2 linked regions of the Arabidopsis thaliana genome follow. The protein of the gene in region 2 interacts with the protein of the main gene of each other region in a pairwise test. Each region holds a gene or a part of one and is shown on either strand. Other genes may lie near its edges.

Evidence for each region. Proteins that work in one complex are often made in the same cells at the same time.
Region 1: the proteins of IRX1 (region 2) and GH9A1 interact in a two-hybrid assay, tested with the Arabidopsis thaliana proteins (one study listed by BioGRID).

Annotation. Positions count from the first base shown.
Region 1 is NC_003076.8:20,196,849-20,202,022, reverse strand, and holds GH9A1 (glycosyl hydrolase 9A1), read left to right. Parts: upstream 1-1,554; 5' UTR 1,555-1,854; coding exon 1,855-2,227; intron 2,228-2,305; coding exon 2,306-2,616; intron 2,617-2,689; coding exon 2,690-3,154; intron 3,155-3,270; coding exon 3,271-3,406; intron 3,407-3,507; coding exon 3,508-3,680; intron 3,681-3,850; coding exon 3,851-4,258; 3' UTR 4,259-4,632; downstream 4,633-5,174. Other genes in the region: FRO6 (ferric reduction oxidase 6), read left to right, coding at 1-296, 499-668; AT5G49710 (RING finger protein), read right to left, coding at 4,835-4,916, 5,016-5,124. UniProt on the Arabidopsis thaliana protein: Required for cellulose microfibril formation. Involved in cell wall assembly during cell elongation and cell plate maturation in cytokinesis. Required for secondary cell wall formation in the developing xylem.
Region 2 is NC_003075.7:10,312,090-10,318,568, forward strand, and holds IRX1 (cellulose synthase family protein), read right to left. Parts: upstream 4,798-6,479; 5' UTR 4,631-4,797; coding exon 4,453-4,630; intron 4,361-4,452; coding exon 4,281-4,360; intron 4,198-4,280; coding exon 4,146-4,197; intron 4,052-4,145; coding exon 3,886-4,051; intron 3,803-3,885; coding exon 3,530-3,802; intron 3,439-3,529; coding exon 3,093-3,438; intron 2,997-3,092; coding exon 2,859-2,996; intron 2,787-2,858; coding exon 2,661-2,786; intron 2,594-2,660; coding exon 2,381-2,593; intron 2,299-2,380; coding exon 1,855-2,298; intron 1,782-1,854; coding exon 1,428-1,781; intron 1,345-1,427; coding exon 757-1,344; 3' UTR 535-756; downstream 1-534. Other genes in the region: MYB98 (myb domain protein 98), read left to right, coding at 1-468; NRAMP5 (NRAMP metal ion transporter family protein), read right to left, coding at 5,696-5,920, 5,996-6,479.

The DNA.
Region 1 (5,174 bases), on a different chromosome or scaffold from region 2:
ATTGTTGGACATCTTTTACATAAAAAGATACAACATAACAACGTGGTGGTACAAGGGACTTCTATTTGTTGGTTGTATGGTTGCAAGTGTCTTGATTTTTGGAGGTCTTGTGGTTGTTTTCTGGCATCGCTGGGAACACAAAACCGGTGAAGTGGAAGCAAATGGCAACGACAAGGTAGATTTGAATGGAGAAGAAACCCATAATCCATCTGCAGCAGAGCTTAAGGGCTTGGCAATAGAAGAAGATGTCCAGAATTACACCACTATTCGTTATGGCACCAGACCGGCCTTTAGAGGTATACACTACAAAATTAGCGGTGTCAAGTCCAGTTATCTCGTTTTTTTATTTATAAAATTATAGAAACTGAAATCATTCGGAACGGTTTGACACGGTTTCGTTCGGTTCTTGAATCCGACTTTTGGTGTAGATATTTGGCTCGATTCGGTTAAGTTAAATCTTTGATTGGTTCATGTAATATTTTTATTTTGTAATTGCAGAGATATTTGAGTCATTGAATGGGAAATGGGGGAGTGTGGATGTTGGAGTGATAGTATGCGGTCCAGCGACTCTTCAGACGACCGTAGCCAAAGAAATACGGTCACATAGCATCTGGCGATCGGCGAATCATCCTCTTTTCCACTTCAACAGCCACAGTTTCGATCTCTAACGATGCTTTCAAGGCCAAAGAACATTATGGAAGGAAATTCGAAGACAAATTGATGCATATATTTTAGGTAATCTCTGTCAGTATGTACTATGGAAACAGCTATGGTTGATATGTGTATGTTTATCTTTCAGTTTTCGATGTATAAAGTAGAAATCAAATGTATGAGCATCTATGGTTTCTAGTTCTACACTTGTTGGTGTTTCTACATTGGACATTTAATATTAATTAAATGCAAGCTGATAAGTCCTATAATTACATAGCTGCCCATATATTTTCGGAATTTTTTAAAGTAGAGATATATTCATATATATATGAGGGATTAGATTCTATAATTACGAATGTATTTAATTTCAAATTAAAAGTTAGATTCTCATAATTCTCCTTACTTACTCTGTGAGGGATTAGAGTCGTAAAAATGACCACAAGATGTAATTTTTTTTTAGGTCATTGATCTACCATCAATTTGTCGGACACACTTATCTTATAAGTTTTAAATTTTAACAAATGTAAGTGAAATTTTGTGGTAGACTATCATTTTCAAGTAGAAGTAGAATTTAAGTAACCTTCCTTGTTATAATTTTTTTTTAAAAATTATGTCATTACTTAGAGCCCACCAGAAATGATGACGTGTAAAACACCATAATCATAAAGGATAAAATAAAATTATCATCCCACCGACAGTTTATTAGCGGAGATGTCTTTTTCCATCCACCCGACATTAGCCCATTGCTTTACTAGTAAACAAAGTATATGCAATTTTTTGTTAGAAAAAACGGTGCATAAAAAATAATATTTTAATGTCTCCGACAAATTTTAATTGTATGAAAAATAAATACACAAGATTACAAGTTGGCCAAAACGCTCAATCATAGTTGGCCAAAAATATACTATTCCAAAATTAGAGTTAGCTGTAACGTAACATGTACAAATAAACCAAACAAAACATATAATAACAAAATAATTGAAGTGAGTTTTAAAAAGGAAAAAAAAAAAAGAGTAAAAAACCAAAACCAGATCTCTCAAAGAGTCTTTGTACATTATTGACTAGAGAGAGCTTTTTAGCTTCACATTTCTTCACTTCCACACACTTTTACTTCTTTCTCTCTTCTCTTCTCTTCTCCAGATCTGATCCCAAACCTTTGATTCATTGTTGTTGTTCTCTGCTGCTTTATCAGAGAGCATCATCATGTACGGAAGAGATCCATGGGGAGGTCCATTGGAGATAAACACTGCAGATTCCGCCACCGACGATGATCGTAGTCGGAATTTAAACGATTTGGATCGTGCGGCTCTTTCACGTCCACTAGATGAGACGCAGCAGAGTTGGTTACTTGGTCCAACGGAGCAGAAGAAGAAGAAGTACGTCGATCTCGGTTGTATTATCGTTAGCCGCAAGATCTTCGTCTGGACTGTTGGTACTCTTGTTGCCGCCGCGTTACTCGCCGGATTCATTACCTTGATCGTTAAAACTGTGCCGCGTCATCATCCTAAGACTCCGCCGCCGGATAATTATACTATAGCTCTACACAAAGCTCTTAAGTTCTTCAATGCTCAGAAATGTAAGTGTAGAATCTACTTAGATCTGATAAAATTTAGATATAGAGTTTTAGATCTAAGTCTGATTTTGATTGTTGTAGCTGGGAAATTGCCAAAGCATAATAACGTGTCATGGAGAGGTAATTCTGGGCTTCAAGATGGGAAAGGTGAAACAGGAAGCTTCTATAAAGATTTGGTGGGAGGTTATTATGATGCTGGTGATGCTATCAAGTTCAATTTCCCCATGGCTTATGCTATGACTATGTTGAGCTGGAGTGTTATTGAATATAGTGCTAAATACGAAGCTGCTGGTGAGCTCACTCATGTTAAGGAGCTTATCAAATGGGGAACTGATTACTTTCTCAAGACTTTCAATAGTACTGCTGATTCCATTGATGATCTTGTGTCACAGGTACTTGTTTATGACCTTCGTAGGAGATCTTTCATATTGAGTTGTTTGTTCACTCGTTACATGTTTAATGTAGGTTGGATCAGGGAATACTGATGATGGAAATACAGATCCTAATGACCATTACTGTTGGATGCGACCTGAGGATATGGACTATAAAAGGCCCGTGACTACTTGTAATGGTGGATGTTCGGATCTCGCTGCAGAGATGGCAGCTGCTCTGGCTTCAGCATCTATTGTATTCAAGGATAACAAGGAATATTCTAAAAAGCTTGTCCATGGTGCTAAGGTGGTGTATCAGTTTGGAAGGACGAGGAGAGGGAGATATAGTGCAGGCACTGCGGAATCTAGCAAGTTCTATAATTCAAGTATGTATTGGGATGAGTTCATTTGGGGTGGTGCTTGGATGTATTATGCTACCGGAAATGTAACGTATCTCAATCTAATCACCCAACCTACTATGGCCAAGCATGCTGGTGCCTTCTGGGGTGGCCCTTACTATGGTGTATTTAGCTGGGACAACAAGCTTGCTGGTGCTCAGGTCAGTCCACACATAACAACCTGCTGTGTTTATGTTTCTTAGATATTCATGTCTTCTTGATCATTTGCCTTAACCATACTACTCTTGACTCTTTTGAATCCCTTTTGCGATTTTAGTTGCTGTTGAGCCGGTTGAGGTTGTTTCTGAGTCCTGGATATCCATATGAAGAAATTCTAAGGACCTTCCACAATCAGACCAGCATAGTCATGTGCTCATACTTGCCTATTTTCAACAAATTTAACAGAACCAATGGTTAGTTACCTTCCAGCTTTAATGTCTGCCTCTAATAAAACTCCAACTGTGGGGCTTGTTCTTGTTTCAGATATCTAAAATGAAATCTTTGGTATGTGCAGGAGGTTTAATAGAGTTGAATCATGGAGCTCCACAGCCGCTGCAATATTCTGTAAATGCAGCTTTCTTAGCGACTCTATACAGTGATTATCTGGATGCTGCTGATACTCCTGGATGGTACTGTGGACCTAATTTCTATTCGACAAGTGTGCTACGTGACTTTGCTAGATCCCAGGTATTGCTTCTTTTCCTTTACTCTTTACAGAAATGGTAATCTCAGATATAGTAATGGATAAGATCCAAAAATGACACTTTTAACCAAGATTGTACGAAGATCTTTTTAAACTCCATTTTTTATTTTGACATCTAAATTGGATTTAACTCGGCCTTGCTGTATTTTGGCAGATTGATTATATACTGGGTAAAAACCCTCGGAAAATGAGTTATGTCGTTGGTTTTGGCACAAAATACCCAAGACATGTGCATCACAGAGGAGCTTCGATACCCAAGAACAAAGTCAAGTATAACTGCAAAGGAGGATGGAAATGGAGAGACAGCAAGAAACCAAACCCAAACACGATTGAAGGAGCCATGGTTGCTGGTCCTGACAAGCGCGACGGGTACCGTGATGTCCGTATGAACTACAACTACACTGAACCGACTCTTGCAGGCAATGCTGGTCTAGTCGCAGCTCTTGTGGCATTATCGGGTGAAGAAGAAGCCACCGGTAAGATAGACAAAAACACTATTTTCTCAGCTGTTCCTCCTTTGTTCCCTACTCCACCACCTCCACCAGCACCATGGAAACCTTGAGAAAGCTAGACTTGTGTGATTCTGTCGCTGCTGCCAAAAAAAATGAATGAGGTAAGAAGGATTTGGGTGTGAGACCAGAAGATTAGAAGCTAAACACAAGTCAGCCATAACCAAACTACTAAGGATTTCATTTGGCTTTACTAGATACAAACACGGGGTGGGTTACTTTACCACAAGCATTGTCTTTCTTTTCTTTTTTTGGGTTGCTGTTTTGTTCTTGTGAGATATCATATATATCTATGCGTTTTACTCTGTATATGTTTGATACCAAACTTGTATTCTTTGATAAACAATTTAATGAACTGTATTAAACTTTTAACTATGTTTTATTGTGCAAGTGTGAGATCAACCTGGAATAACAACTGTAGTCTACTAAAATACGTGATTCTAGCATGCATTTACTCATTTAATGGATATAAACGATGATGCAGAAAGAATATTGCAGTAAAGAACGGAATTACATATGGCATTCTTTATACATGATGAAGTTGTATTCACAGAGATCATGGAGAAACCCAAATTAAACTGTTATCACAGTACACAGGCGAGATGTGTTCGAGAAGGCGTCATCGTCAATCAAACGAGCTTCGATATTACATGACATGACGCCCAAAAGGCCTTTGATGCAACCCTCAGGATCACGGGGTTTTGATAGATCCTGTCGGTGAAATGAACAAAATAAAAATGCTTGGTGAGAACGATAAACAATGGGACTATTAGATTTTGCAATGTAGAAGATGACTAGATGATATTATACCCTATAACAGTTGCGCTCCATGACGCTACGTTGTAAGCAACCTTACTTCCATCCCAGGCTTTCCGAAGTTTCCCCTTTCTATTCTTCACTGAGAACATCCTGCTAAGTGCTACATTACAATTCAAACACTAATGTTACAGTTTTACTACTAATCTGATA
Region 2 (6,479 bases):
AGTGAAGAAGAGGACAGAGTGTTGATAGAATTTCACAAAGAGATTGGAAACAAATGGGCAGAGATTGCGAAAAGACTCCCGGGAAGAACAGAGAACTCGATCAAGAACCATTGGAACGCAACAAAAAGAAGACAATTCTCTAAAAGAAAATGTAGATCTAAGTATCCAAGACCTTCTCTGTTGCAGGATTACATCAAGAGCTTGAATATGGGAGCTTTGATGGCTTCTTCTGTTCCTGCAAGAGGTAGACGCAGAGAGAGTAATAACAAGAAGAAGGATGTTGTTGTTGCGGTTGAGGAGAAGAAGAAGGAAGAGGAGGTGTATGGACAAGACAGGATTGTGCCTGAATGTGTGTTTACTGATGATTTTGGATTCAATGAGAAGCTGCTTGAGGAAGGATGTAGCATTGACTCTTTGCTTGATGACATTCCTCAGCCTGACATTGATGCTTTTGTTCATGGACTCTGATTTGTATTTTTTATTCTGCTTGTTTCAGTTTTGTTGTTTTTTGTTTGTCTTTTTATACGAGACAGATTCCACCAAACTTCAATAATTTGAAAAGATATAAAATATTTTGCTTTTTAAAAACATGTTGATGTTGAAACAATAGAAACCTAACTTGCGGAACCCGCCAAGACTTGTTGCTAAAATAAGAACATTACTTAACTTGTGGCTCAAGCAACCATATGAAAATTTATAAAACAACCAAAACACATATGATCAATCTTTCAAAATACAAACATAACGTATCTTCTCTTAGCAATCGATCAAAAGACAGTTCAGAGAAAGGGAAGTCGTATCGGTTTTGGAGACGAAAGGATTGATACGAACCCAAACAAGTGAAAACACAGAAGCAAGCAAGATAGACCAGAGAATAACAATAGTAGGTGTTCTGTTTTGTCTTCCCATAAGACCTTTGAGGAATGGATAAAGATGAAGAATCACCCAAAAGGCGAAAAATACCTTCCCAAACAAAGGTCCCCAAGCTTCATAACCTTTGTTAAGAGCGTCAGAGAATCCAGCAACAACTCCGACCAAGTTGATTATAAGAAGTGACGTCGGAGGGATCAAGAGAGTTGTCCATTTGACAATGTAAAGCTCACCGAATTCTAAATCATCTGCGGTTTTCGATGTGACTGTGAAATTTGTGTCGAGACCAGCGAGCATTTTGAGGAATCCTTGGAAAACGGCAAAGAGATGAGCTGAGACACCTCCAATAACCCAAAACTGTTCGTTTCTCCATAAGTCTTCGATACTGACTCCGCTCCATCGAAGCTCGAGGACACTCGTTAAGATGATTGATATAAAGAGACCTAGAAACAGCATGCTTGCTAGGTTTGATAGCTGCAATAAAGAACAGAAACAAAGATCAAATTCTCAATCTTGCTGTAACCTAACCAAAGTAATTAGTAGTATGAAAAAGTTACCGTTGGGATGATAAATTTGCCGGTAAGAAGGCAAATAGCTGGAAGAGTACAGTAAGCAACAAGAGGCAAAGAAGTGAATGGGTAGACAATAGTGTTTATATAAGCTAATCTCTGGAGCAACTTGAGGCGGCCTCCGCTGCAACCGTACCACAAAGGACAATGTCGGCTAAGGAAGATCTCAACCGAGCCAAGAGCCCAACGTAGAACCTGGTGAAGCCTATCTGATAGATTGATTGGAGCAGATCCTTTAAATGCTGGTCTTAATGGCATACAGTAAATCGACCTCCATCCACGACAATGCATCTTGAAACCCGTCAAAATGTCTTCGGTGATCGACCCGTAAATCCATCCTATCTGCGAAAACAGAACGAAAGGTTATAAAATGTACTCACAAGAGAACTTTGATATGAAGAAACAAGGCACTTACTTCTTTTCCCCATTCAGTTTTCTCTTCGTATCCACAGCTAATGACATGAATAGCTTCTTTGATGAGCGTTGACGGGTTTACAGAGTCGGGAACACCGCCATTCTCCATAAGAGTAGACTCGATGAAAACCGTAGAGAGACCAAACGTTTTCTCAAAGCTTGTTTGTGAAATCAGCATCGATCTGTCGTACTCATCGTAGTTGTCTAGGTCCCCAAGATTAAAGATTGCAGCATCAAGTTCTTCTCGCTTTGCATCTTTGTAAATCTCGGAAGGATCTTGAGGTTGTTTCTTCTTGGTTAGACAGCAACACGACGATGATGAAGATTGCGGTAAAATCCTCGGTTTTGAAGGTGGACTGTATCCGTAAAGTGCTTGTCTTCTAAAGACAGTACCTGTACCAACATAAACTGGACCTTGAATCCCATCAAGCCCTCTCATATTAACCTGAAAACATCATATCAAAACCACAAAATATCATAAGAAATCTCAAAACTTTGCTTGAAGTTATGAGTATGAGATAACTTACATCGAAGAAAACAATGTTGCGGTTAGCATATCGATCACTCTTGTCGATTCCATCAAATCTCTGTGGGAACTGAACAAAGCAAACGTCTTGACCAACAACAGGATCCATTAAAAAGCACATTGCTTCACGCACGGCTTTGCTATTGTTGACGTAGTGATCACAATCAAGGTTAAGAATGAATGGAGCATTCGTTAAAACCGCAGACACCCTCACCTACAAAGAACAAAATCATTAGGATTGTGCTAAATTGAACGATAAAAGAAAAAGTTTTGAAGTTTACCAATGCGTTCTCTGCCCCGGCCTTTTTGTGATGCTGATAACCAGGTCTCTTCTCTCTAGAGACGTAAACTAATCTTGGAAGTTCATTTCCTTCAATGTCGCGAGCACCGCTATATCCAAGAAAAACCTGCAAGAAAGAAATTACGTGACTAACAAGAAAAGACAGAGCATTTCAGGTCAAATGTTTTAGCTAGCAAACCTGAATCATCCCGGGATGGTCACGAGTGTTGTTCCCGGGCCAAGATGTTCCATCTTGCATTGTCCATCCTTCTTCTGGTGTCTTTTGAGCCTTGGCGACTAAAGCATTCATTCTTATTTTAAACTCTTCATAATCTCTCTACAAGAAGAGAAATTAGACATTAAGTTTTCGATTCAATCATCGGTTAACGCTATATGAGATTAATTTAAGGTTTTAAAGCCCTTGCTTACTTACTTTCATGGCTCTACGTTCTTTCACAAAAGAAGGTTGAACTTTATCCCTCAAGTAATCGATTTTAAGCGAGAAGTAAAACTCGGGAGCTCGTGGCTCGATGGAGTACTTTTTGCAGAAAGGTACCCATTTCCTAGCAAAATCTGCTGTCTCAACCAAAGACTCAAACGAAAGCATTGCAGCACCATCATCAGATACATAGCAAGAGACTTTATCCACCGGATAATCAAGCGCGAGGATCGAAAGAACCGTGTTTGCAGTTATCAAAGGTGGCTCCTTTAATGGATCTACCGTACTAACAAAGAAATCTACAGCTGCAAGCTGTGATTGCTCGCCTTCTCTTTCGAATCTGCATAGTTTTGATAAATGGTTTCATAAAACTTAAAGATTGGTAGTAACTGCGCAGATTAAGCATATAACGGTTATAAAACATTTGTAACCTTGCGGATAACCGGTCGATGTAAGTTTCTCGGTTAATAGGAGACCATTTAGGGAACTGATCCAACACCCAAGAAACAGCAAACCAAATCTCACATATCACAGATGTTAGCCATAAACCGTAAGCGCTATCGACAGGATGCGTGATACGGTAGTTAAAAAACAGAGCCAAGATGATCAACCGCATGATGATGACAATCCTATATGAAGTGATTTTTGTCCTTGGGATAGGAATCACAACCGAAAGCACATCTGTAGCACCAGATTCTGTGTTCCTGAGAATACAAACGGCAGAGACCAAATCAACGTCTCAAACTTTTTGGTGAATGTTATTAGATTAGTACGAGGATGTGCTTACGGTGGCGTATCTTCCATGTGCTGTTGGGTAGGAATCTGAGCCTCATGTTGTTCAGCTTTTGTTGCTTTTGGATCTTTCTTCTTCTTCTTGCTCTTCTTGTCTTTCTTGTCTTTCCAGCTCTCCACTCTGTTCTTCCAAATTGGATTGCCATATTCATCATTCAGTTCTTCAGGAAGAAACAACAATCCCCAAGTTAGTTAAACTATTAATAACCTCACCAAATGTATACAAAGATTTTGGCTTTGTTTCTTAGTTCTTACCACTGTCTATTGTTGAGACTGTACTTATATGTCTAGCATGAATCCCTGAATCCTGAAAAAGTCAAGATAATGTTCTCAAATTTGTAAAATCTAATTAAGACATAAAAGCAACTAATCTTAGCTAAGCACACAAACCTGAGAAGTGTTATTGGTCTGTGTTGGAACAATGGATTGAGTTTTAGATGTCTTTGTCTCAACATCATCAAACACATTCTCTATGAAAGCAAAACAAAACAAAACAAGTTATAAATACTCTTTAACCAAAAAATCAAACTTTCGAATAAAGTTTGTAAATTTATAATTGTACCATCGTAAGGATTGCCGCAACGCAAGCAAATTCTTCGACCTTCTTTGAATTCATACTCAAGACAAGCTTTGCAGATCGGGAAACTACACTCATGACAAGCCACAAAGAACTCTCCGTTTGATTTTACACCAATCTCTTCACCACAAGTGTTGCAGATGGGAGACCTAGACTCCATCATCTTCGAATTCCCCTGTTTGGAGAAACAGAGAAATGAACCCTAATTAGGGATTGAGATTTGGATGGATAACAAGTTTGAGAAGCCATGAGAGTGGAGGTTTTGTAATAAGAGGAAAAAAAGTTATTAAAAAAAGTTTGGTGGATTGTGAAAAATCGGAAGTTGAGAAGTTTCTTTCACTGGTTTTCTGAGAAAGCTGATGGGTAAGCTAAATTTGGAGCTTTTTTGAAATGATTTTGCGGGAAAGTGAAGGAAAGTTTTAGTTGAGAGGAGTGACACATGTTCTTTGTCTCTAACCAGCGGCAGATACTAGCTTGCTTGCCTCCTAAGCGTCACCGTACTTTCTATATCAAGCTAACATTGAAGTTGTTATATCCGGTTTATTCGGGTCGGGTTATTCACCATTGAAGTTGTTATAATTTTTAAGTAAATCTTTTCAATCACCAACTTTCTATAAGAAAAATAAGAATTAAAATCACTTTTTTGAATCAAATTAATTTTAGCATTAAAATATTTAAATTTATAGTGTAAACAATTATTTAAGACATAAAATTAAAATTTATAGTTAAAATTATAAGACACATATGTATCTAAAAAAAATATTTAGTTTTTTTTTTATTTAGGTAAATGACAATTTGTGACAAATATTAAAGTCTTAAACCTAAAATTTTAATTGTCTTTGTCAGAAGAGAATTTTCACCGTTTACTACTAAAGAAAACACTCGTCATTTGGTTTAATATCTCTAATCTCTATAACAATTTGAGCTTTAGCTGTACCAAAAATAAATTTTGAGATATAATATCACTTCTCTAATTTTGTTTCTGCTTAATCACTTCTCTGTTCATTAACGTTTTTTGCATAATTCTACTCTACATTTGCAATGTTAGAACAAATCAATCTACACTCTTAACCAATTCAGTCTTTGCATCATCACATCTGAGTTTCCTCTGGTCTACTGTCTCAAATAAAACCGTTGACCAAATACAGCAAAACCATCCATCAAATTCGACCTTCTGATTTTGCTCAGATAAGTTGTAAGGGTTGAAGAATACTAAAGTTATGGGTTTCTACGTCTCTGTGGAAACAACTCTCTCTGACATTTCTAAACTCGACCAGGAAGAAGATTGTGAGCTTCTATAAGAAACAAGATAGATGATGAAACTGATGTATCCAACTACTCCACCAAAAACCAGAAACCCAACAAGAAACCCTTCCACTTCAGCCATGAAGAAATCTAGAAGAAGATACCCATTTATCATCATCACAAACACCGCCACAGTCCAAGCTAGCTTCTGCAAAGATCCCAACTAACTCGTTACAATCAAAAGCACATAACAATAAAGAGAGATGACAAAAAATTGCTTTACCTCAAGCGAAGGTCCGATCTTGAAGACACCCATGATATGTTCATTAGAAACCATAGTCAAAAGAGGAATAACCGCGAAAGGAATCTGCATCGACTGAAGAATGTTAAGCCATTCGTTTAAAACATCGAGCGAGCCCTCGGATGTGTTAAACATAATAGCAACAAACATAGTAGGTACAATAGCAAAGCTTCTCGTTATAAAAGCTGATAGCCATTGTTCCATTTGAAGATCTAAGAACCCTTCCATTATAAACTGTCCAGCATAAGTCCCGGTTATAGTACTGCTTTGTCCAGCAGCTAATAAACCAATCCCCCAAATGTATAGTATCGGGAAAACACCACCGCCATATTTCTCTTGTAGGTAATATCCCGCGTTAACCAGTCCTATACTATCAGCTTGTTTGGTTCCATAAAACCCTTTCGCGAAAACCGCAGTTACAAACAAATTGATCATGAACGAAACAAAAAGCGCGGCTGACGATTCG